3 linked regions of the Rhinolophus ferrumequinum genome follow. The protein of the gene in region 2 interacts with the protein of the main gene of each other region in a pairwise test. Links are inferred from orthologs where the notes say so. Each region holds a gene or a part of one and is shown on either strand. Other genes may lie near its edges.

The links.
Region 1: the proteins of EXOC1 (region 2) and TRIM9 interact in a two-hybrid assay, tested with the Homo sapiens proteins (2 studies listed by BioGRID and IntAct). The link is inferred for Rhinolophus ferrumequinum from reciprocal best matches to the Homo sapiens genes EXOC1 and TRIM9.
Region 3: the proteins of EXOC1 (region 2) and SYBU interact in a two-hybrid assay, tested with the Homo sapiens proteins (2 studies listed by BioGRID and IntAct). The link is inferred for Rhinolophus ferrumequinum from reciprocal best matches to the Homo sapiens genes EXOC1 and SYBU.

Annotation. Positions count from the first base shown.
Region 1 is NC_046289.1:41,274,208-41,281,688, reverse strand, and holds the start of TRIM9 (E3 ubiquitin-protein ligase TRIM9), read right to left. Parts: upstream 3,280-7,481; 5' UTR 2,735-3,279; coding exon 1,913-2,734; intron 1-1,912. UniProt on the Homo sapiens protein: E3 ubiquitin-protein ligase which ubiquitinates itself in cooperation with an E2 enzyme UBE2D2/UBC4 and serves as a targeting signal for proteasomal degradation.
Region 2 is NC_046288.1:17,845,764-17,853,768, forward strand, and holds the start of EXOC1 (exocyst complex component 1), read left to right. Parts: upstream 1-4,896; 5' UTR 4,897-5,199; intron 5,200-8,005.
Region 3 is NC_046297.1:50,072,271-50,079,615, reverse strand, and holds the start of SYBU (syntabulin), read left to right. Parts: upstream 1-4,066; 5' UTR 4,067-4,142; coding exon 4,143-4,202; intron 4,203-4,361; exon of another isoform or gene 4,362-4,380; intron 4,381-4,579; coding exon 4,580-4,666; intron 4,667-4,736; exon of another isoform or gene 4,737-4,758; intron 4,759-5,182; exon of another isoform or gene 5,183-5,320; intron 5,321-5,815; exon of another isoform or gene 5,816-5,836; intron 5,837-5,953; exon of another isoform or gene 5,954-6,146; intron 6,147-6,472; coding exon 6,473-6,674; intron 6,675-7,345. UniProt on the Homo sapiens protein: Part of a kinesin motor-adapter complex that is critical for the anterograde axonal transport of active zone components and contributes to activity-dependent presynaptic assembly during neuronal development.

The sequences.
Region 1 (7,481 bases), on a different chromosome or scaffold from region 2:
ATAGTGACATATGCCTCGTAGGGCTCAAGTTTGTGCAGAATTAAATCTCCATTAGGACTAATATGGTTTAACAGGTTATATGTAAGAACACAAATGACTGTAAACGTGAATCACATTCAATTAATATTGAGTTGAGAAAACCTTCCTGATTGCTGAAAATGGTGCTTTTTTTTCTCTCTCTGTAAATAAAATATCAATGGCCTCTCTTAAAAGCTAGGCTTTCCAGTCTCCAGGGAATGGCTGAACACCATCTTTACTGCCTGCCTTATCCTTAGGCTTACAATTAAATGATGTGAAGAAACCCTCCCTAGAAGAATCCTAAACTCCTGCCCTTCCCTTCACACCCCCAACTAAGTGGATTATTTAAAAAGTAGAAGTCAAATTAAGGCACATCTCAAGAGTGCTTCCCTTCCTTCCAAGCATGTTGGCATAACATAAAGATCTCTTTCCTCTTGAAGCTTATTTTCCAGTGGGGGGAACAGGGAGGGAAGCAATAGATATACAAAACCACATGATCACTAAACTATATACATGCCAGGTAGTGGTAACTACTATTGAGAAAAAGCAGGGAGGGAACTAACGAGTGTTTGAGGTGAGTGGCAGCAATTGTGTTCAGGAAAGTTAGCAATTGTGGCAAAGAAGACATCTGAGCAAAGATCTGAAGGAGGTGAGAGAGTGAGCCAATTGGATATGTATATAAGATTTTGGGGAAGAGCATCTCAGGTGGACGGAACATCAATGCAAAGGCCCTGGGGCCAGAGGTACCTGGTGTTGGTTGGGGAACAGCAAGAGGGACACTGTGGCTGGAGCAGAGGGAATGGGTGGGAGGAAATGAGGTTGATGAGGCCAAAGAGGAACAGGTCCCGTAGGTCCTGATGGACCCTTCTAAGGACTGCCTGAGAAACACGGGGGATGATTGGAGGATTTTGAGTAGAGGAGTGGCATGACCTACAACGTTAAAGGCACTTTTCTTGAAGCGAGCTTTGGTGTAGGCGCCATCAGAAAAGACCGGAAAGATAAATCCGGTAACAGGTGTCTGAAAGTCTGCACAGACAACTCCTGAAAGAGGAAAAGGGTTGACTCCCAGACAAATGGGTGTGTGGGTGTTTGGGAGGAGGGGGTTACCCTGGAAGACACGCCTGACTAGCTTTCAGGCCTCGACCACACAGAAATCTTCGGTCCTGCTGCTACGTATTCCAGCCACAGGTCCCCTCCGGGAGGATTAGGATAGCAGCCTGCAAGCCGTGTTGCCAAGGCGACCATAGGATTTCCCCACCCCACTCCTCTGCCTCCTGAGAGCATAGCACCTCGACTCGCAACCCCTCTAGCTGGTTCGCAGGGTCTGGGCCAGCGAGAACTCATCAATATTCCTCCCGCCGCGTTTCTCCCGCCCTGGCGGTGACTCATCGCGCCTGCCTAACAGCTCCAGCCCCCGGCGGTCCGCACCACCCAACCTCCCCCACCGTCTCCCGGGGACCACGGCCAGAGCCCCGCAGCCGGCTCTGCTCTGGAGGGGCACTGTCGGCCTTGGAGGGGCACTGTCGGCCTAGTAGGGCACTGGCGCCGCTCTACCCAGTCACGCAACGCTTTCCTGCATGCTGGCCCTCAGCCGCGAGCTGCACATCCGCAGCGGAGAGGGGGCGTCCTGCGCCTACCTCGCAAGCTGCGCGCCCGGGGAGACCTGCTCTAAAGCACCCCCGCAACAACTCTGTGGGGACAGTCAACTCCCCAGTACGTGGTTTAAGATCACCCTGCGATTCCTGCAATGCACCATACGGGGGAAGCAAATATTGTAGGCACCTGCATTGCGCCCCAGCTGGGATGCACTGTGCGCAAAAGAAGAGGACTTTATGCTGCAAAACTGGAGGATCGGAGGCGCGGGGAGTTAGGGCAGGGTTTTCTTAGGACTCACCTTGTGCAGTTTCCACATGGCCCCTAGAGCCTTGACTTCGTGGCTGGAGTGTTTGCCCTCCTCCAAGCACTGGTAGCACACGGGCATCTTGCACTGCACGCAGTACATGCTGTGGTTCTCAAGCTCGTGGTCTGTGCAGGTGGAAACCTTGCGCGGGCTCAGCCGTCGGCTCACGCGGCCCTGGGCCGGGGGCACCAGGCGGTGCTTGGCTAGGGGCCCCCGGGGCGGGTGGCAGCGCAAGCGGCACGGATCGCAGTAGAAGACATCGCACTGTTCGCACATGACGGTAGCCTCCTTGGGCGCCTTCTCGCAGAGCTGGCACTTGAGAGCCGCGGCTTTGCTCTGCTGGTAGCGGTCAATTACCCCTTCCAGGACGCGGTTCTTGGGGAAGCCGCGGAGCCCCCGGTCATCTAGGATGAGGCTGCGGTGGCACTGGGGGCAGGTGATACAGGAGTTGCGGGGCACTGGGGCCAAGGCCGGTGACAGGTGGGTGGCCGGTGGAGGCATAGCCGGGGGAAACACGCGGACGCCGTTGGGGGACTTCTGGCACGGGGTAGTGGGGGCGCTGGCGAAACCCCCGTAGGAACCATAGCCGCTGTCCGCCTCGCTGTACAGGCTCATCTTGTCCAGGTCCAGGTAGTCATAGTCGGAGACACCGGAGCCTGAGGCCCGACGGCTCTGGGGGGACTCAGACTCCGGGGTTTGCACCAGGATGTTGCGGGCGCACGCCTGACATAAATTGTGAGAGCAGGGCAGGATGATGGGCTCCCGATAGAAGGACCCGCACACGGGGCATTTTAACTCTTCTTCCATCTCTTCCATGGGGACCCGGCTGGGAGCAAGGCAGCGGCGGCTGCAACGGGTGGCTGAGCTGGCGAGGTGGCCACCGGCCTGTCGTGTCCAGCACCTTGGCCAGCAGCGGCGGCGGTGGCAGCGGCGGCGCCTCTTCGCGTAGCCGAGGCGCGGACTCCCTGTGAACCGCTCTCGGTGAGCTACAGCACCGCGGGGCTGAGCGCCACCCCGGGACCGCCCCCTCCTGCCCGCCTAGGTCCCGCCCATTGGACAGCAGCGACGGAGCGAAGCTCTCATTGGCCACACGCCCCGTTCTTCTCCTCTCCTCCGCAGGCCACAGGGGGTTTGGTGGAGGACTGAGGATGAGCGGAGTCTTTGCTCCCCGCTGCATGATCTCGGGAGGGGGCTGGCGTGCGTTGGCGAAGGGACCCGGAAGAAGGTATTAGGCGGGATGACTCATCCCTCGCCCCCCTTCCTTCCGACCTCCGGTGCAGTCACCCAGGAGCAGGGGGCGTGAGAAACCCCTCCGCGCAGCGAGTGGGCTGGCGCTTCTCGCCAGCAGTCTGCGTTTGGCTTCCAGCTATGGTCTCTGCGCCGACCTTATCCTTCCGCTGCTGGCAGCCTTGACTGGTCCTCACTCAGGCCTACGTTTCTGTGTGGCAGCCGGGCTTTTGTCCTCCTCATGAACCCGCTGAAGCTTGCCCCTGGCGCTCCCCTTCCGGGAGTTTGAGGGCGCCGTGCAGGAGCCCTGGCAAGAGCCTCTTAGCGTCTTTCCCTCTCACTCCCTGATGTCTAATGGTATCGGCTTCCTAGAGATTTAAACCACGTGACCTATGTAAAGGCTCAGTACATTGGTTCAAATCTGTGCCCCATTCATTTCCCGCTTTCACTTCGGGCTAGCCCAGTGGCTTCCTACCGTATGGTGTGAACGTGCTTCGGTCCCCTCTTCACTCTCCCTGCCTCCCAAAGCTTGTCCTCATCCGGCTCTCAGCGTCTGACTGAGCTTTCACAAGGCCAGCAGGACCTTTGGTTCAGCTGAGGCAGGAAAGGATTGCCCATTCCTGAGGGCCCATAGTTGAGTAACTAGCTCCAGATGAATCACGGTGTTAATGAGGAGCCCCAGTATTTGACTCCAAACGGCATTATTCGGTGTCACGTGGCCTGAGCATTTACCACAGCTTAGAATGCTGGGTTCTTTCTGTTTCCTTAAGTGACCATGGGGGGTGGGGGGATGTGGGGGTTTCCTAGTGTTAGTTCTCATATATTAAGCATCCTTCTCCTCCCTCTCCCCAAACATTGCTGGAGAGATCTGGTCCTGCCCCTTGCCAGCAGAACTGTTGATTTCATGATAGAGAACAAAAAGAAAGAAAAATCGTTAAGTCAAGTGACATAATGACATTCTGTGGTAGTAACTCATGAAACGGTTGCCTTTTGCTGAGTGATTCATGAAATAAATAACAAGAACTCAAAGTTCTAAGAAATCTTCTAATTTTCCATCTCTCAAAAAAGATAATTTGATGATATGCAGCTACATTTTAAATTTAAAACCACTTTATTGCCCAGAAAAAAAGACTTTTTATAACCTTGCCCTTGGAAAAATAGTCCAATAAACTAGGTTATCCCTCCAACACTCTTTTCAGTTACAATGAAAACAGCACTTGAGGGCAGCGGGATGGCTCAGTTGTGTAGAACTCCAGCTCTTAACAACAGGGTTGCCAGTTTGATTCCCACATGGGCCAGTGAGCTGTGCCCTCCACAACTAGACTGAAGGACAGCGACTTGACTTGGAGCTGATGGGCCCTGGAAAAAACACACTATTCCCCAATATTCCCCAGTAAAAATTTATAAAAATAACAAACAACAGCACTTGATTACTGGGGGTAAATGTTCTCATTGTTATTTAAAGTTATGTTATCACAAATGCTATAAAATTTACTTTTAACCTGTCTTTTAGCTAGTTGCATCCAGAATATCCAAAGGCATATGTACTCTGTTTACATAGAATTTCTTTGTTTGGGTTTGGAACGTTATCTGTATCTGCAGGATACACCTAATTTAGGAGTCCCAAGAAAATTTGCTAATAACAGGCAGGTAAGTATTAAGAAACTGTTAGGAAGAATTGTCAGTACTGCTCCTAATTTACAACTCTTTCTATGACTTTCGTATGCATTTGGCCCAAAGTCACAGTAACCTTGGGCCAAGGCTTTGGACGTTTCAAAGTGAGCAGCTATTACTCTTTTTATGAGTTTGAATTTTGCTTATCACAGTATACCATCTGCTATAGATTAAATTTTTGTGTCTCCCCAAAATTCATATCCTGAAATGCTAATCCCCAGTGCGATGGTATTAGGAGGTGGCGCCTTTGGAAGCGGATTAGGTCACAGGGGAAAGAGCCTCCATGTATGGGATTAGTGCTCTTATAAAAGTGGCCCAAGAAAGCTCCCTTGTGCCTTCCACCCTGTGAGAAAACAGGTCCTCATCAGATACCAAATCTGCCAGCACCTTGATCTTATACTTCCCAGACTTCAGAATTGTGAGAAATAAATTTCCGTTGTTTATAAGCTACCCAGTCTGTGACAATTTGTTACCGCAGCCCAAACTGATGAAGACACCATCTAAGAGGTCTGCTTATTAGCACAAAGCTCATGCTTAGTTCAGAATAAGGGATAGTCTTAGGGAATGTCTGTGATGTAATATGCTTTTGGTTTCCACAGAGACTCAATAGAATACAGATTTATAATATAGCCAATATGCAAAGATTTGATCTATTATGAAATATATTGAGATGATTTGTTAGACCTCAGGAATTAGACATATCAATCCCAAGAGAGCCCTTAATATGACTGGTTTTTATTGTGTGTTCACTCTGCTCTAGGCAATGGGTTTATTTATTTACATGCATTACCTAGTTCAGTCCCTGTAATAAAAAGATGAGGTAGGTACACTTATCTCCATTTTAAAGATGAGTAAACTAAGATAAGCAAAGTGCTCAAGGTCGAATATTGGTGAGGCTGGGATTTGAACCCAGGCACATGAAAGTTTGTTTCTTTGTTCATTCATTCATTCATTCATTCATTCATTCAACAAACGCTGAGTTCTACTCTCTGTCAGGCTCTGTGTGTGATAAAATACCCAAAATGATCTTTGTTAATTTCTATGCTATTCTGCTTACTTTCCCTGGAATTTAAAAAAATAATAATTTCTTTAAAATATTTCTGTAAACTTTTGAAGATTTTCCCTTCATGTTGCACTATTTGGCCATAATGTACTTTCAAACTGCCCCCACCCATGAGTTGTATTTAAAGGGAAATAAACATCAGAATGTAATTGATGATATTATAGAAATACTAGGGGATATCTTCTCTCTTCCAGCTGGTGATCAGCCCATGCCCTGAAGCACAAGGATTGATAGCCCTGTAATTTCATTACTCCTGCAGAGACTGCAGATGTTCTCATTTGTGTCAAGTGCCTGATTATCCTCTGAAACTTAGTAAATTATTCACCCAAACAATGTTCTTTAGCAATGAGCGGAGCAAATTTAAAATGTTCTAGCAGTATTTCCATTTTTTTTAAACAAATGTTTACCAATGAAAAATTTAGGTGGGTTTCTATTTTCTGACTACAATGCTTAATTATTAACACAACAGTCTTTTTGATTCTAAAGAACGAACACTCAGAGAAGAAAGAATTCTCTCCCATCTCCCTTCATGCTCTCCTAGAGCCACCAATCTTTAGTGCAGCAGGAAAAATCAATGAAAGGAGCTGATTGTAGGTGCTGGCCCTTTAAGATTCTCAGACACAGATAAAAATATTCTGTATTTAGTTTGTGATTAATGATATTGCTGAATGTGTTTTGTGAAATTTATATTATTTGAAAAGCGATTGGGGTGATGTTCTATTTCAAAAGAAATTCTGAGCAAACTTTTTATGGGGTCATTTAGCCCATTATTATTTAATTTTATGCTTGCTATATTTGTGACATCCTTTAATAATTTTCATATTTATTTATTGTTGATATTCCTTTGTCTTTTAATTATGCAATTATTGTAGTAAGAGTGTTTTGCCCATTTAGTACTGGTAGATGACCTTATCCAAATTCTGTAGTATTTCTAACTATAAATATTTTATTACTAAAACTTTGGAAAGGGTAGACAGGAAACTGGAAAGATGGAGGTTTAATGAATCTTGTATTTAAGAGAGTTGGAGGATAAATCCAGGAGACCCAACTTGTGAATAACAGGAATCCCAGAATAGGAAAAGGCACAGATGGAAGAAAAAAAAATCACAATTGAAAAAATAATTTCCTGAATCAAAGAAAGATCTGAGGTTACAGATTGAAAGGATTTTAGAATTACAAATAATCTTGATGAAAAAAGACAGCATATACAGATACAATTCTTGAACTCTTTAAGGAAAAAAGAAATCTTCAAGATAGGTAAGGAGACTTGTTTGTATTACAATTCCAGGAATTGCTCTTTCCTCTGAAGTTCGTACTGGTTAACCTGGTAGAGGTCCACCCTCTATATGCACACATCATTAAACAACTTTGAACTAGGTTATTTCATTTCTTATAATAAGCATGTTATAATTTCAAAAACATCTAATAAATATTTTTAGAAGAATTTTGAGGTAATTTCTGAAGAAGTGTGAGCCCTTGTACTTGTAATACCTTTTCTCCTATCTAATCGTCATTGTCATATACCAGAATTTAGAAGCATCTATTATGTTTCAGATCTTCTATTTTGGAATTCTACTTTATATTTGCTGTTATAGTGTT
Region 2 (8,005 bases):
AGTGACTCTCTGGCTTCCTTCTATAAAGTTGCAAAAAAATAAAAAGTATTATGTGGGGATATTTACATTTGTTTCTAATAAAACCTAAAACAAACACCAATTGCTTTATGCCCATAACAGTAGAAGCTCTTCTGTCATGCTGTCACTGCTACAGCAATTTATAGAGAAAGAATATGGAAAGTGGGTCACTGTGATTCTCACTGTTCTAAAAAACAAACAAACAACAACAAAAAAAACTTGATGTTCTTTGTTTTGATACTAATAGTCTGATAACATCTGAAAAGATTTTTCATGTCTTAGATAGGAATGTGCATAACTGAATTACAAGAAAACACTGCTTAAAAAATTTTAAAAAAGAAAAACAAACTAACTGATGTAATAAAAGTCCACATAATTAGGAATAAAGAAAAAGTAGAATTATATGAACCCATATGATTTCTTCAAACATATAAAGACCCTTGACCTCATACTCAAATTGAAACCAATCAGACTTAAATTAAGGGAGAGTTTTGACCACGGTCAAAGTAGGTTGTGTGAAAGCCCACTTCTGTGAGATCTATGGGGTTTTCTCACTAAACAAATACACAAAGCCAGGTGCGCTACCCGTCCATTGGTGCTTCATCAGGCAGAACCCTGGAGACAGTAGGACACTTCTTCCTTCCTGCTGGCTTTCAAGCTAAGGAAAATGGACTCCCTTTTTCCCTCAAGTTACCAAATGAGTGTGGTTACTCTGAGTGCTCTGCGATCATCAAGTTTCCACAAACTCCACACCTCTGCTTGATCGATATACTGTATTGAGTCATTTCTCTAAGGAAACATTAACTTCAGTAATCCTGCCAGTATTGTTAAATCATCAATATTCACCACTCTTGGCCATTTAGAAGAGCTTTTCCCTTGGAGCTTATTAACAATGGAAAAAATATTTCATGCTATCCGAATATGAGATTGCCTCATACATGATATATGTTAACATGTACAGCCTTCTGTCTATGAAAGGGAAACAGGACCTCAGGGCCTGAGTGACTATTATATGTTTTTTAAGGACATAAATCTATCCAGTTCACTCTTCTAAACTAAATGGCATGTAATAATAGCTACCATTTGAGTGCTTGCTATGTGCCAAGCGATGTGCCAAGGGCTTTATAAGAAATAGCAAATTGCATGAGAGTCCCAAAAGATGGGGATTATTTTTAATTTTAAAAATGAGGAAACTGGGGCTCAGAAGAGGTAAATAACTTGCCCTGTGGTCAATGAACCAATAAAGACCAGATTTAAACCCAGGTCTTCATGGCCCCAGTGGCCATGTACTTTCCACTATTTTAAGTTGCTTCCCAAGTCTATACGTGCAGATGACTGTGGTAAGATAAAGACATAGTCATTGAAATACTACTATGTGTGCCTCCTATTTGTCCTTAGGCTAAAGAATTAATTATTCTATGCCTCCATTTATTAGTCTTTAAAATGAGGATAATAAAGATTCCTGCCTTATGGGGTTGTTGTGAGGACTAAATTAGTCAATATAAAGTGCTTAGAATAGTACACTGAACATAATAAGAGCATTGGTATGAGTTCTAGGAACAGGGAATACACCAAAGAACAAAAAGACAAAAGTCCTTGCTCTCAAAAGCCATTCTAGAGAAAGGGAAAGAGCAAATATACTAACCAACAAACAAATAACATATACATCAGGATGTAATGTCATAGTATGTCAAGATGTAATAAGAAGCACGAAGAAAACAAAGCAAAAAAGAAAGATAAAGAATACTACCTTAAATAGGGCTATCATGAAAGACCTCAATGAGGTAACACGTGGGTGAAGGCTTGAAAGGGATGCAGTCATGAGCCATGCAGATATTTAATGAAAAATCATTCCAATCCAAGAATACTATGAAGGACTATATGCCACCAAATTCAATAACCTAGAAGAAATGGACAAGTTCTTAGAAACATACAGCCTTCCTAGGCTGAACCATGAAGAATTGGAAAATCTAAATAGACCGATCACCAGTAATGAAATTGAATCAGTCATCCAAATCCTTCCCAAAAGCAAAAGTCCAGGACCAGATGCCTTCACTAGAGAATTCTACCAAACCTTCAAAGAGGATCTAATACCAATCCTGCTCAAACTCTTCCAAAAAACTGAGAAAGAGAAAGTAGTCCCTAACTCATTTTATGAGACCAACATTACCCTGATACTAAAACCTGGTAAGGATAACACAAAAAAAGAAAACTACAGACCAATATCTCTGCTGAATACAGATGCAAACATCCTAAACAAAACTCTAGCAAATCGAATGCAGCAATACATTAAAAAGATTATTCATCACGACCAATTGGGGTTCATCCCAGGGGCACAAGGATGGTTCAACATACCAAAATCCATCAATGTGATACATCACATAAACAAAATAAAGTACAAAAATCATATGATTGTATTAATTGATGCAGAAAAAGCATTTGACAAGATACAACATCCATTTATGATTAAAACACTTAATAAGGTAGATATAGAAGGAAAATACCTTAACATAATAAAGGCCATATATGACAAGCCCTCTCAGCTAATCTCATAATTAACAGTGAAAAACTGAAATTCTTTGCTCTACGTTCAGGAACACGACAGGGCTGTCCCCTATCACCTCTGCTTTTCAACATAGTGTTAGAGGTCCTTGCCAGAGCAATCAGGCAAGAGAAAGAAATAAAAGGCATCCAAATTGGGAATGAAAAAGTTAAATTGTCACTCTTTGCAGATGACATGATGCTATATATAGAAAACCCTAAAGACTCCACCAAAAAGCTAGTAGAAACAATCAACGAATACAGTAAAGTTGCCAGCTACAAAATCAACGTACAAACTCCATTGTATTCCTATATACTAACAATGAAATCTCAGAAAAAGAAATACAAAAAACAATTCCTTTTGCAATTGCAGCAAAAAGAATAAAATACCTAGGAAGAAACTTAACAAAGGATGTGAAAGACCTATATGCTGAAAACTACAAGACATTTTTAAAAGACATTGAAGAAGACACAAAGAAATGGAAAGATATTCCGTGCTCATGGATTGGAAGAATCAACATAGTTAAAATAGCCATATTACCCAAAGCAATATACAGATTTAATGCAATCTCCATCAAAATCCCAATGGTATTTTGTAAAGAAGTAGAACAAAAAATCATCAGATTTGTTTGGAACCACAAAAGACCCCGAATAGCCAAAGCAATCTTAAGAAAAAAGAATAATACTGGAGGTATCACACTCCCTGACTTTAGCTTGTACTACAGGGCTACAATAATCAAAACAGCATGGTATTGGCAGAAAAACAGACACATAGACCAATGGAATAGAATTGAGAACCCAGAAATAAAACCACATAAATATGGACAGATAATTTTTGACAAAGAAGCAAAAAACATACAATGGAGAAAAGACAGACTCTTCAATAAATGGTGCAGGCAGAATTGGATAGCCACGTGCAAAAGAATGAAACTGTCACCATGTACCAAAATTAATTCAAAATGGATCAAAGACTTAAGCATAAGACCTGACACAATAAACTGCATAGAAGAAAACATAGGTACTAAACTTATGGACTTTGGGTTCAAAGAGCATTTTATGAATTTGACTCCAAATGCAAGGGAAGTAAAAGCTAAAATAAACGAATGGGACTATATGAAACTTAAAAGCTTCTGCACAGCAAAATAAACCATCGACAAAATAAAGAGGCAACCAACTGAATGGGAGAAGATTTTTGCAAACAGTGCCTCCGATAAGGGGCTAATATCCAAAATATACAAGGAACTCATGCAACTCAACAAAAAACAAACAAACAACCCAATTGAAAATTGGGCAGAGGACCTGAAGAGACATTTCTCCAAAGAGGACATACAAATGGCAAATAGACATATGAAAAAATGCTCAACAACACTAATCATCAGAGAAATGCAAATAAAAACCACAATGAGATATCACCTCACCCCAGTCAGAGTGACTACCATCAACAAGACAAATAGTAACAAGTGTTGGAGAGGCTGTGGAGAAAAAGGAACCCTCATACACTCTTGGTGGGAATGCAGACTGGTGCAGCCATTATGGAAGGTAGTGTGGAGGTTCCTCAAAAAATTACGAATAGAATTATCATATGACCCAGCAATCCCTCTCCTGGGTATCTATCCAAAAAATCTGAAAACATTTATCCATAAAGACACTTGTGCTCCAATGTTCATTGCAGCTTTGTTTACGGTGGCCAAGACATGGAAACAACCAAAATGTCCTTCGATAGATGAATGGATAAAGAAGTTGTGGTATATATATACACTGGAATACTATTTGGCTGTAAAAAAAGGTGAAATAGGACCATTTGTGACAACATGGATGGATCTTGAGAATATAATGCTAAGCGAAATAAGTCAGACAGAAAAAGCAGAGAACCATATGATTTCACTGATATATGGTATATGAACCAAAAACAACAAAAGAACAAGACAATCAAATGAGAAGAAAAAACTCATAGACACAGACCATAGTTTAGTGGTTACCAGAGGGAAAGGGGGAAGGGGGGGCGGGAGATGAGGGTAAAGGGGATCAAATATATGGTGATGGAAGGAGAACTGACTCTGGGTGGTGAACACACAATGGGATTTATAGATGATGTAAAACAGAATTGTACACCTGAAATCTTTGTAATTTTACTAATAATTGTCACCCCAAAGAACTTTAAAAAAAAAATGAAATGAAATAAATCTCCAGGTCCCAGGTCAGTCTCCAAGCGAGAGGCCCCGCCCCTGCCTGTCCTTGACACGCCCTCCAGCGAGACCTTGCCCCGCCTCCCCACGCCTATCACCATTCCACCGGATAGACTTCCGGCGCGGAGGTTTGTCACATGGCCGGATATGGGAAGTAGTGGTGGAACGGTTGCTTCCGGTTCACCGCTCCATTGAGGGGCACATCTTAGTATCGGTGGCCGCCCCGCCGCATCTGGTCTCTGTCTTGGAACAGCCGCCTCGGCCCAGCCTGGCTGGGTCGCGCCTTGCGGTAAGCCTTGGGCCGCGGCTGCCAGTAGTGCCGGCGGCGGCGGACAGACGAGCGGACTGGCGGGCGCCATGGTCTGAGGAGGCTCCTCAGTTCCCCTAGTGGCTCTTCTCCCGGGGTCTACCTCCCTCCGTTATCAGCCGTCCCTTCCTTTCCCCGCCTGTCTGGGTAAGGCGCAAAGCCCGCTCGTAGCACCTCAGCTCTTTGCTGTCCTGGGGCTTGGGAGAACAATCCTCACGTACCTCTTTATGGATCCGCCCATAGCAACCATGTTTTCTTTGGGCAAAACGGCCCTGATCATTTGCTCTTCGGCGTGGACCGGGAGAGGAGGGCGTGACAGTGCCTTCTCCTTTGTCCAAATCCACATTTCCTGCTAAATGTCTGGCGTACATTTCCCTGTGTCCGTGCACAGTTTTCTCTTCTGGATGACAGGGCTCCACGCGTTGAGACGTCTTGAGAGCATACGGGGCCCAATCCACATAGGTACTCACATGGACCAGCTACTTGTCATGCAATGTAAGGTCCGACTGAATGTAAGGAAACAGGAACCGACACAGAGGAAGCCGTGTGTGCCTGCCTCTGGAATGTGGTCAGACATGGATTCTTAAATCTGGAAGATAGGTTTAGAGGATCTCTAGTGACGTGTTCATTGACTTAAGAGAAAAGTACTCTAAAGCCTGTAGAGTTAATCACTGCACCCTTAAAATGTAAGTGCGGTGGGGGGTCTTCATGAACATGTCTGTCATATTCACCGCTGTAACTTAGAGCAGTGCCTCCCACTTAGTAGACATCAGTATTCACTGAATGAATGGGGGTCCTGTAGTGGCTCTCATTATGCCTAACTCCTTTATGAGGGATTCCCAGGCCTCCCTTTTCCCCACTTACTATACAATCAGTTGTACTTTTAACCAAGGAGGGATTGTGTGGTAAATGTTGACCACTAACAATCATTCATTTGACCAGTTTTTACTATTCAATTGAGGTTACCTCAAGAGGTATTTGTTAGGTACCTACTAAGAAAGAACATAAAACTATGCCCGAGTGTCTCTCTCTCCTCCTGGATTTCTCTCTCTCTGTCTCTCTCTTTCAAGAAAGTTCTCGAGATCCACAAACTTAGGATTTCATGAAGCAATTAGACAGCAAGTGCTTGATTGATTAGTTAATACAGTAAGTGTTATAGCAATTGAGAGGAGAGATCAATTTGGATGAAGATCTTTATTGAATCAACTTCATATAAACCATGAAGTGTAATTTGGGTTTGGATATGGAAAAGCACCTAAGCAAAGACTTAAATACCAGAATGAATGAGAGGGTTTGGAGTGGGAGGTTTGTATTTGGGAACTTGAGTGAAACACTGAGCATGTTGTGATGAAAGCTGTTTTAATATTACTTGTTTGTGGAGGGACTTGGAGTTGTGGAAGCTTGCAAAGAGATAATCAGATACTGTAGTGTTAAATATAGTTGATGTGAACCTGGGTTAGTGTGTTGGCAGTGGGAACAGAATGGAAGGACAACTTATGTGTAGATGAGGCGAAATCAACAGAATGTGGTAGCAAATTTCATGTTGTCAATGGAGGAGGAGAATCAAATATGACAGATTTTGAACCTGGACATTTGCTTACAGATGTGAGAGTGGGAAAGGGGGAATCTTAGAGAAGCAGCAGTTATCATGTTATTTGGTACTATCATTTTGGTTAATTTATTAAATGCCTGCTACATCTTTGCCAAATTAGAACTTTGCCAAGTTCTAATAATACAAAGATAAGTAATAATACAAAGATAAGTAAGCTCCTTGTTTGCCTACAAGGAGCTACTTTTCATACAACTAACTAGAATATATCACTTAAAAGTGGTATGTTAGCAAAGTAGAGAGGAAATGTTAGAGCAGTAGTAAGGGAATTATTGTTTTTGTGTGTGTGACGGCTTCACAGAAGAGATAACATTTTAGCAGGACTTTTGAGGGATGAGTTGGAATTTCCCAGGGAGTTAAGAATTCCAAGAAAAGGAAATTGCATGAACAAAACTCAGAGATAGGAAACTGACCAGTATCTTGTGTAGCTTGGGCATAGAATGGAGTAGAGCTTTTAACATAGTGTGTAGGTCGTAGAACATACTAAAGAATTAATAACAGGGATATTTTGTAATAGGCAGAATGGAGTGAAGATGTAGAGAGGGAGAGGAAAGCAATTGGGGAAAATTCTACTTCATGGCTTCTGTATTCTCTGCAGAGTAAATGGTGAAGTTCATTTGCAGAGAGGTAGGAGGTAGACACTGGAGTTGGGGGTTGAAAGAATAAGCATTTGCAACAACATTGATGGGGAGTAGGAAGAGGAATCATTGAAGGAAATGTTCAAGGATTGCTGAGCAACACTGAAAGTTTAGCTTTGACTGGTCTTAGACATTTGTAATGAATGCAGTGAAGAAGGACATATGGCCTTCTTAAACAGCATTCGTTAGCCCAAGAGAAGTGGAGAGTGGAAATTTGTAACAGGGAGAACTGGTCTACAAACAGAGCAAAATAATTGAAGGAGTAATAATAAAAATGTGGGTGTAGAGAAATGAACACTGCTTCCAGGCTAGGTTGGAAAAGAAATTAAGCTGGAGGCCAGATGGGCAAAGAGAATAGGAAGGAGAGGGAGGTCAGAGGACTAGAGGCTGAGATGCGGTGAAACAGGGAAGATCTGATTTTTGTGCGAAAATTTTTTGAGTTGGAACAGAGATCAACTTTTCACAGATTGAGAAAAATAGAGGAGATACCTAGTTTGCAAGTGTCATTTTGTTATAAAAATTCATTGTAAGTCATTTATTTAAAACTCATAATTTATTTTCCCATAGATATGGTGTTAGAAGTAGAATTTCCTAAGCGAGCTCACACATGAAATACTACATTTCCTTCGGAAAATAGTAATACACCCACACGCGTGCGCGTGCACACACACAGATTATGTATATATATAGATTGATATATATATAT
Region 3 (7,345 bases), on a different chromosome or scaffold from region 2:
AAATCACCATACCTATATGTTTGGCTAGTATCTTTCCTATCCGCACAAATGGACAAAAGGCCATAAACAGCAGACAGCATTTTTGGAGGGTTACCTCATGTCTACTTCCTCATCAGGCAAGCAGAAGACTGTATCCTTATCAGTCTTCAAAGGCCCCAACCTCTGCCTTCTCACCTGGACTTGCCATTAATTCCTGTTCTTCATCTGGGAGATACCTCTGACTGAAAATTCATTTGTAGAGCAGAAATAATTGACACACTCTGAACCCAATGGGTGTTAAAGCCAGCCTTGCCTCACGGTACGCACTCCCCTCTCTACCCCTCGTCGGGGAGTGATGTTGCAGAATTCTACTCACGACAGTTTTACAACATCAAAATCCTTTAACCATATAGTAACAATACATACAATAAGAGGAGGGTTGACCACTCACACATGTTTTTATGGGAAAATGGACAGCGCTTTCCCTGGTAAGAAAAGCATAGGTCTGCACCCTACCACAAAAAAAAAAAGAAATCCCAGGATGCCCCAGAGTGCAGTTTCTTTTCTTCATGACGTGTTGTAAAGCACGTCAGCTGCTTGTTGTTGCTGTGCAGATCACACAACATCGGGTCACTGAGAGAGACAGCAGTGCTTGCTCGCACAGCTTGTAGGATTAGGAGATGGTGCTTTGTCGGCCCTGACTGAGTCCCAGAAAGCCCCCAGTATACTCAGGTGAGCTGTGAGGAAGAGTGGATGTGGGGACCACGTTGTCTCGGTTGTATGGTACAGATGTTTTCTCTTTGGCAGTGCATTTGTATTGTCTTTCTGTGAAGTTGGCAGTCAGGGGTGGTGGTGGGGGTGCTCCTGTACATAAAAACCTGTCCTTTATCACTTATCTGGTTTCAGGAATTGGCCACATGCTCCTCACAGGATTTTTGTGAGGTTCAAAGAAGATTATATATGTGAAAGAGATCTAAAAATATAAAGTTGTGTGCAAATGAAAGGTATGAGTCATTTAATTACCAATTTCACATAAAGAATCAAATAATTTATACCAGATTTGGGGGCATAGACACATTTCTTTTCTCCCAATCTGCAATACCCTATCTCCCCTGTTCCTCCCCAGGCCTGGGCAGGGATCTTATTTATAATCTTGAAGAGTTCTAGCCTTCAGAAGCAACTGATACCTTCTAAAAACCAGCATTACATTCATTTCTAAAGGAAAAGCCACAAAGCTACAAAACCAGACAATGAGTATGTAAGTAGACACTGAAAATGACGCATGAGAATGTTGTAAAGCAGATGAAGATGAATATAATATACTGTATTAGATGATATCTCTTTGATGGTATAATCCAGACGTTGTAAGACATTTCTCTTGATGACATGAGAAACACTTGAATGAAACTAAAGGCAACATAGATATTATCATTTGTAAAACTTGCCTTTTAGAACAGTGGAAAAACAGGCTTGGGTTCCAAAAGTACAGAGCTAAGAAGCATTTGAACACTAAATCATCAGCCTTTCCTTCAGCAGGGTTGCTATGGTGACAACAGGGCTACCACACAGCCTCTCACTGCCTGCACTTCTGCAGTAAAAGCTTTCATTGAACACATGTTGGATTTTTTAGGCACATACCCCATCATCAAATACAAAGACATAATGAGGCAGCTTTCCCTGAGTCATTTTCAGAGCAGAAGTTGTGTCTGTTTTCTTTATCCTGTACTGATGGGCCCCTTATGGTGTTATAGAATTCATTCATTCTATGTATTCATTCATTTGACTATTCATGTGACAGGACCTGTACCAGACACTGCCAATAATCCCTGGTGAAGACAGACAAATAAATAGGGAATTCTGATACAAGAGAATAACAGCTCTACTGGGATAAATTAAATACGAGGTGTCCTGGAAGTATGTAAGGGGAGCACCTGACCCTTCTTGGGGAGGTTTCCTGGAAGACGCTATCTCTAACATGAAACTTAATGTAACCTAAGGAGTTGAGAAGGATGGGTGGGTGGGATACAAGAAGGGTTCTAAACAAAAGGACCATCATGTGCAACAGTCTAGAGGAAAAAAGAACAGATACCTCCAGAGAATTGAAAATTCTAGTTTAGGGGTATCCATTTGCAAAGGACCGGTGGGTAGTGAAGGCAGGAGGTGCAGGGTAGAGAGAGAAGAGTGGCAAGAAATGAGATCGGAGAGGTAAATAAGGACAAATCATGAAAGGCCTTTGTGCCACATTAAGGAGTTTGAATATTATGTAGAAGATAACCAGGAAGTTGTTAGTGGGTTTTAATGAAGAAGTATGACATGAAGAAGGGTTTTAACGAAGAAGTATGACAAGGCCTTTGAAAGAAGGCCTTGTGGGGAAAATTTGAAAAACTGGTGAGAAAGGAATGAGGCAAGATTGGAAGCAAGACCACTTGAGTTAGATCACTATTGCAATAATCCAGGATGTTTGTGGTTGAGACTCTAAATGAAGATCATGCAGTTGATCAGTAGACAGAAGTAATCAGATTCAAGACATTATTATTAGGGTAGTGTGGAGATCACGTGGCGATGGCTGCTATCTGGGGGTCACGGGAGGGAGAAGCCAAGAAGGACTCTGAGGTCCTGATTGGACAGGTCAGTGAAGGATGTTTCTGACATTAGGCCGCAAGCCTCAATTCTCAGTTCTTAGTAGGGAATTCAGAAGCACCTTTTGACCTTAACAGTTCATTCCTATCTCACAGTATATGTTCCCAGGCTTATAATTTTGGAAATATTAGGTTGGTGCAAAAGTAATTGTGGTTTAAAGCATTAAAAATAATTGCAAAAACTGCAATTACGTTTGCACCAACCTAATCATAAATTATAGAAGTCATCCTGGACCATCACTTTCCTGACATCCATATCTGAGGACAGCTATGGATATAGAAAGTATAAATTAATCATGCTTTCCTCCCAAATAAAAAAATCCTAGGATCACCAACCCCACTGCTTAAGAGAGCTAAGTAGATTGAAAAGGTATGAAGATGTATGGAGTAAAATTGCTTTGGAAATGTAGGAAAAAGAAATTGATTCCACTAATCCTGACTTCAGGCTCTCTCTAGACTCATACTGTGCATTTGTAGACTTTGAGAATTGAAGACTGAGACAAATGCTATTTGGAGAGCAGAAAAATGGGGATGTTGAAAGTTCAAATACGATTTTTAAGGATCATGCAGGACACTTGGGTGTGAGGATCAGACTGTTCCCACCCATATTGCTACTTAGAATGCTCTCCAATTCTGAATAAATGGCATCTAAGTTATTATACATGTTGACTTCTATCACCAGGTAAGATTTCAGTACACCAAGCAAAATAATAAATCAAGGCCCATGATCCAGCTGATGATTCCTATTCTAAGTCCTCAGTTGGACAGGTTTTGAAGCTTTTTTGAACAAATTGGTCTGTCTCACAAATACTTTTCCTGTCATGTAAGAGGCCTCAGCAAGTAGAATGGACAGCCTGAAGGTGACTTAACTGCCCTTTGGAAATTTCTATTCCGTCTGCTGGGTACAGCTCTTTTGTTTTCCTCATCTAATCCTCACAGCTACCCTTTGAGGTAGATATTATTATTATTATTATTATTATTATTATTATTATTATTATTGAATTTCACGAGAATGAAAATGAATTTCAGAGAGGTCAAGTTCAGAGAGGTCAAAAACTTGAGGCACAAAGATACTCAGCTTGAAAGGAGGGAAGTGGTGCCCCGAACCGGGCTTCATAAATTCAAGTGCAGTGTCCTTCCTGTAGCTGGGTGCCTAGGGCTCTCTCTCTCTCTGGCGGCTGCTGAGCAGAATTGGAGAAAAGGCTGCTCTCGCCCTAAACAGCTTGGCTCCCCAAGCCCGCGGGAACCGCCTCCTCGTTCTTAGCCTGGGGCGCTGCGCTTCCAACCCAAGGCCCTTCTGATGCAAACCACCCAAGGGGAATAGCAAGCAGCCTTTGAGATCCCGGAACCCAGATGCTGTGTCAGTCCTGCAGCACTGGCTTGGCTGGGGTCCGGGTGGAGGGGGACCCGCCCTGTCTCTCTCGGGGGAGGTAATTGTGGGCAGCCGTGTGCTGACTTAAAACCGAGAGGGCAGGGAGGGGCCGTGAGGGAAAACTTTCTCTTTCTCCATTTTGGCTCTCAGTGATGTCGCAGATTTTCTCTGCTCTTCCATCCGACGTGCACCGCCTTCCAACCGGATACCAGGTGCCAAAAAGAGGGTGTCGGGAACCTCCCGGCTGCAGATGCTCCGAGCCTCGCCTGCCCCCTTCGGGTCAGGATCGGCAGAGAGGGAGGGGCGCCTGGCACCTGGGGGAAGTGCCAGCGGCGAAATCGGGCGGGCGGGGTGAACCGAGGCACGGACGGGTCGTTCGGGGGCCGGCAGGTGAGGGAGGTCCGGGGGAACGGGGCGGCGCCCCAGGGGCAGCAGCGGGCGGCGGCGGCACCACGTGTCCGGCCGGGGCGGGGCGGACGGGTGCGCCCTCGCAGCGGAGCGCGAACCGTGGCAGTGGCGGCGGCTCGTCGGACCCGCAGCAGCCGCGTCCTGCACCCCGCGCCAGCTCACCGCAGTCTTCTCGCCCCAGTGCAAGCAGGTGCCTCCTGGACGGCGACAGCGGCGGCGCGGGGAGCCGGAGGGCAGCAGCGCGATGGGACCCCTACGAGAGAGCAAGGTAAGGAAGGCACGTAGTGTGGACGCGGGTGGCAGTGTGCGCGAGAGCTGGAGGGAGAGGGAAGGTGACCACGGCAGGGCGAGAAGGGCCAGGTACGAGCTGGAGGGGTGGCGTTTAGAGTGGGGTAAACGGGGACAGGAGGTGGTGAGGAGGATGGGAAGCGAGGGACATTTGCTCAAGTGATGAGACCCGGGAGATGGGTAGGTGCTTAGGTAGGACAAGATTTGGGGGGTTGACAAGGATTTAAAACATTGCCTTTGGAGGGTTAATCCCATCTCCTGAAATTGGGAATTTGGGATCTAGCTCTGAATTGATGTGTGTGTGTGTGTGTGTGTGTGTGTGTGTGTGTGTGTGTGTGTGATGTGAATAAAAACGTTTTCATGTATTGGTGACTGAGAAATGAGGACTCCGGCATGTCAGCGATCCAGACAGTATTGGTTCAGGGTATGCAGTCTGCCAAGCCCTGTGGCAGACGTGTGATACCTGCTGGGTGACTGATGTGCTTGACAAATCCAGACACTGGGTGCGGCTCTCGCCCCTGGATAGGCTGGATGCCTGAGCAACCTCAGGAGTTCTTCGCGGCTGGGCTTTCCCTTCAGTTCCTGCACTGTGCGGGCCTCCTAGAGATGTTTACTTTGGCAGCGACCCTTCCTGGTAAGCAGCGTGGAAAGGAGCAGGAGGTCATGTTTCAAAATAGTGTTTGTTACCTAATCCAAAACCCATTTTCAATTGCAGAGGTTGGAGGGAGCAGTGGGGTTTTTTGTAAAGAGATCCTCCTAGGAAACCATTTTAATAAGGCAGAGTGGTGGTAACCTGGAAAAGCACTGGAGTTCAGGGCTGTTCTGCATCTAGATGACATGCTGTGTTGGCTAAGCATCTTCACCTCTTTTAGCCTCAGTTTCCTCATCTGTAAATCGGGACACAAATTAGTGTCCTCTCGGTGGTCTGGGTTATAAGGATAAAATAAGATAATGGTTGGGAAAGCACTTTAAAAGTGGAAAAACACTGCCAAAATATTACTTTCATGCATTTCTTTTTAAACCAAGTCACCGCCCTCTATATTTAATGCTGTGGTTTTAAGTAGAGAGGAAAAAAAAATCTATTCTCGTGGGTGTCCTGTAAGGAAAACAAAAGCTAAACATGATGTAAAAGGTGGAGCCATCTTACCGGGTATTGGATTTTTGTTTGCTTTTCTGTTGGCAACAAGCCTTGTGTACCAGGATATTAATGAATAATTAAGATCCTGGCCGGAAGAGGAGGGATTTGAAAGATAAGGCTGCATGATCTATCGGGAAAGAATTGTTCCAGGTACAGGGGTCTACTTTGTGAGGAGATGGGAAAACAGAAGTCAAATTGTTGCAGCTAATTCAGGGACAGCAAAATGGAAGTCTAAAGGAAATCAAGTAGTGTGCTGTGAGTAATAAAAAGCCTTTGAGAGAGCCGAAAGCTTGAATGTGAATGAAAAAACTAGAGCAGGAAGGTGAGTCAGGAATGGCATGGAAGAGTGGGATGGCCTTTCTGCCAGTGGTGGAAGTGTGTGGGCTCGTGTGTGTGTGTGTGTGTGTGTGTGTGTGTCCGTCCATTTTCATCCTTGCTCCAGTGTGTGCTCTTCAGTAGATGAGAAGGGTTAGTTCTGTAGATGAGTTTTGGAGCTCATTTCAGCTACTGAGATAAGAACTACTCTGTGAAGATTCAGTGTTCAGACATGTGATTTCTTAGAAACTGAGCCCACAAGGAGCAGAGAAGTTCGGAGAGGGAAACAAGTTTCTTCTTTTGTTTTCTCTTTTGATGTCCAATTTTGAAAAGGAGCAGAGAGGGCAGCATCATGAGAAGGAGATTTCCCGAAGCCGAATTCCCCGTTTGATTCTTCGGCCCCATCTGCCCCAGCAGCAGCACAAAGTGTCCCCAGCCTCAGAGTCTCCCTTCTCGGAGGAAGAGAGCAGAGAGTTCAACCCCAGCAGCTCTGGGCGGTCAGCAAGGACCATTAGCAGCAACAGCTTCTGCTCAGGTACAGTATCCACGAGAGGCCACACACAGGCATGAAGTGTGTACACTGCAGGTGTGTTGTGAATGGGCCTACATCGGGCCCGGTAGAGCCTAGAACTAGACCTCTATTATTGGGGTGAATTGTCTGTAGTTGCAGCACAACCTTTTGGGTTGTTCTGACCTACAAATACAGCAGTTTCATATGACTCAACCCAGTGGAACTTCACACCTGTTTTTATATGACTCTAGTTTATAATTTACAATGTAAAATCTAACTTCTTGTTTGAAAACAATGTATTCCTGTTATATACATGGACTGTTTAAAAAATGTGTTCCTTTGTTAAATCTGGAAAACGTATAAGCTTGCATTTTTTGCTAGCAACCTTTATAAGCCTGTGGACTTCTATTTATGGAACCCCCAAAGCTAAAGCAACTCCAAAACATCAAGATCAAGGAGGTTTATACCCCAGGACTGGCCTTGTAGTTTAGAGAAAGGAGAAGAGCACAGACTTTGTAATCCTCCAGGCCTTAGCTGATTCCCTGGTCTTTCCACCATTTACAAGCTGTGTGACCTTGGGCAAGTTGCTTAATCTCCTTAAGCCTCAGTTGTTACACCCATAAAATGGAAGGATCATACCTACCTGGTATGGTTACTGTGAGGTTGAATGAGAGCACGTACCTAAATGGACTCCT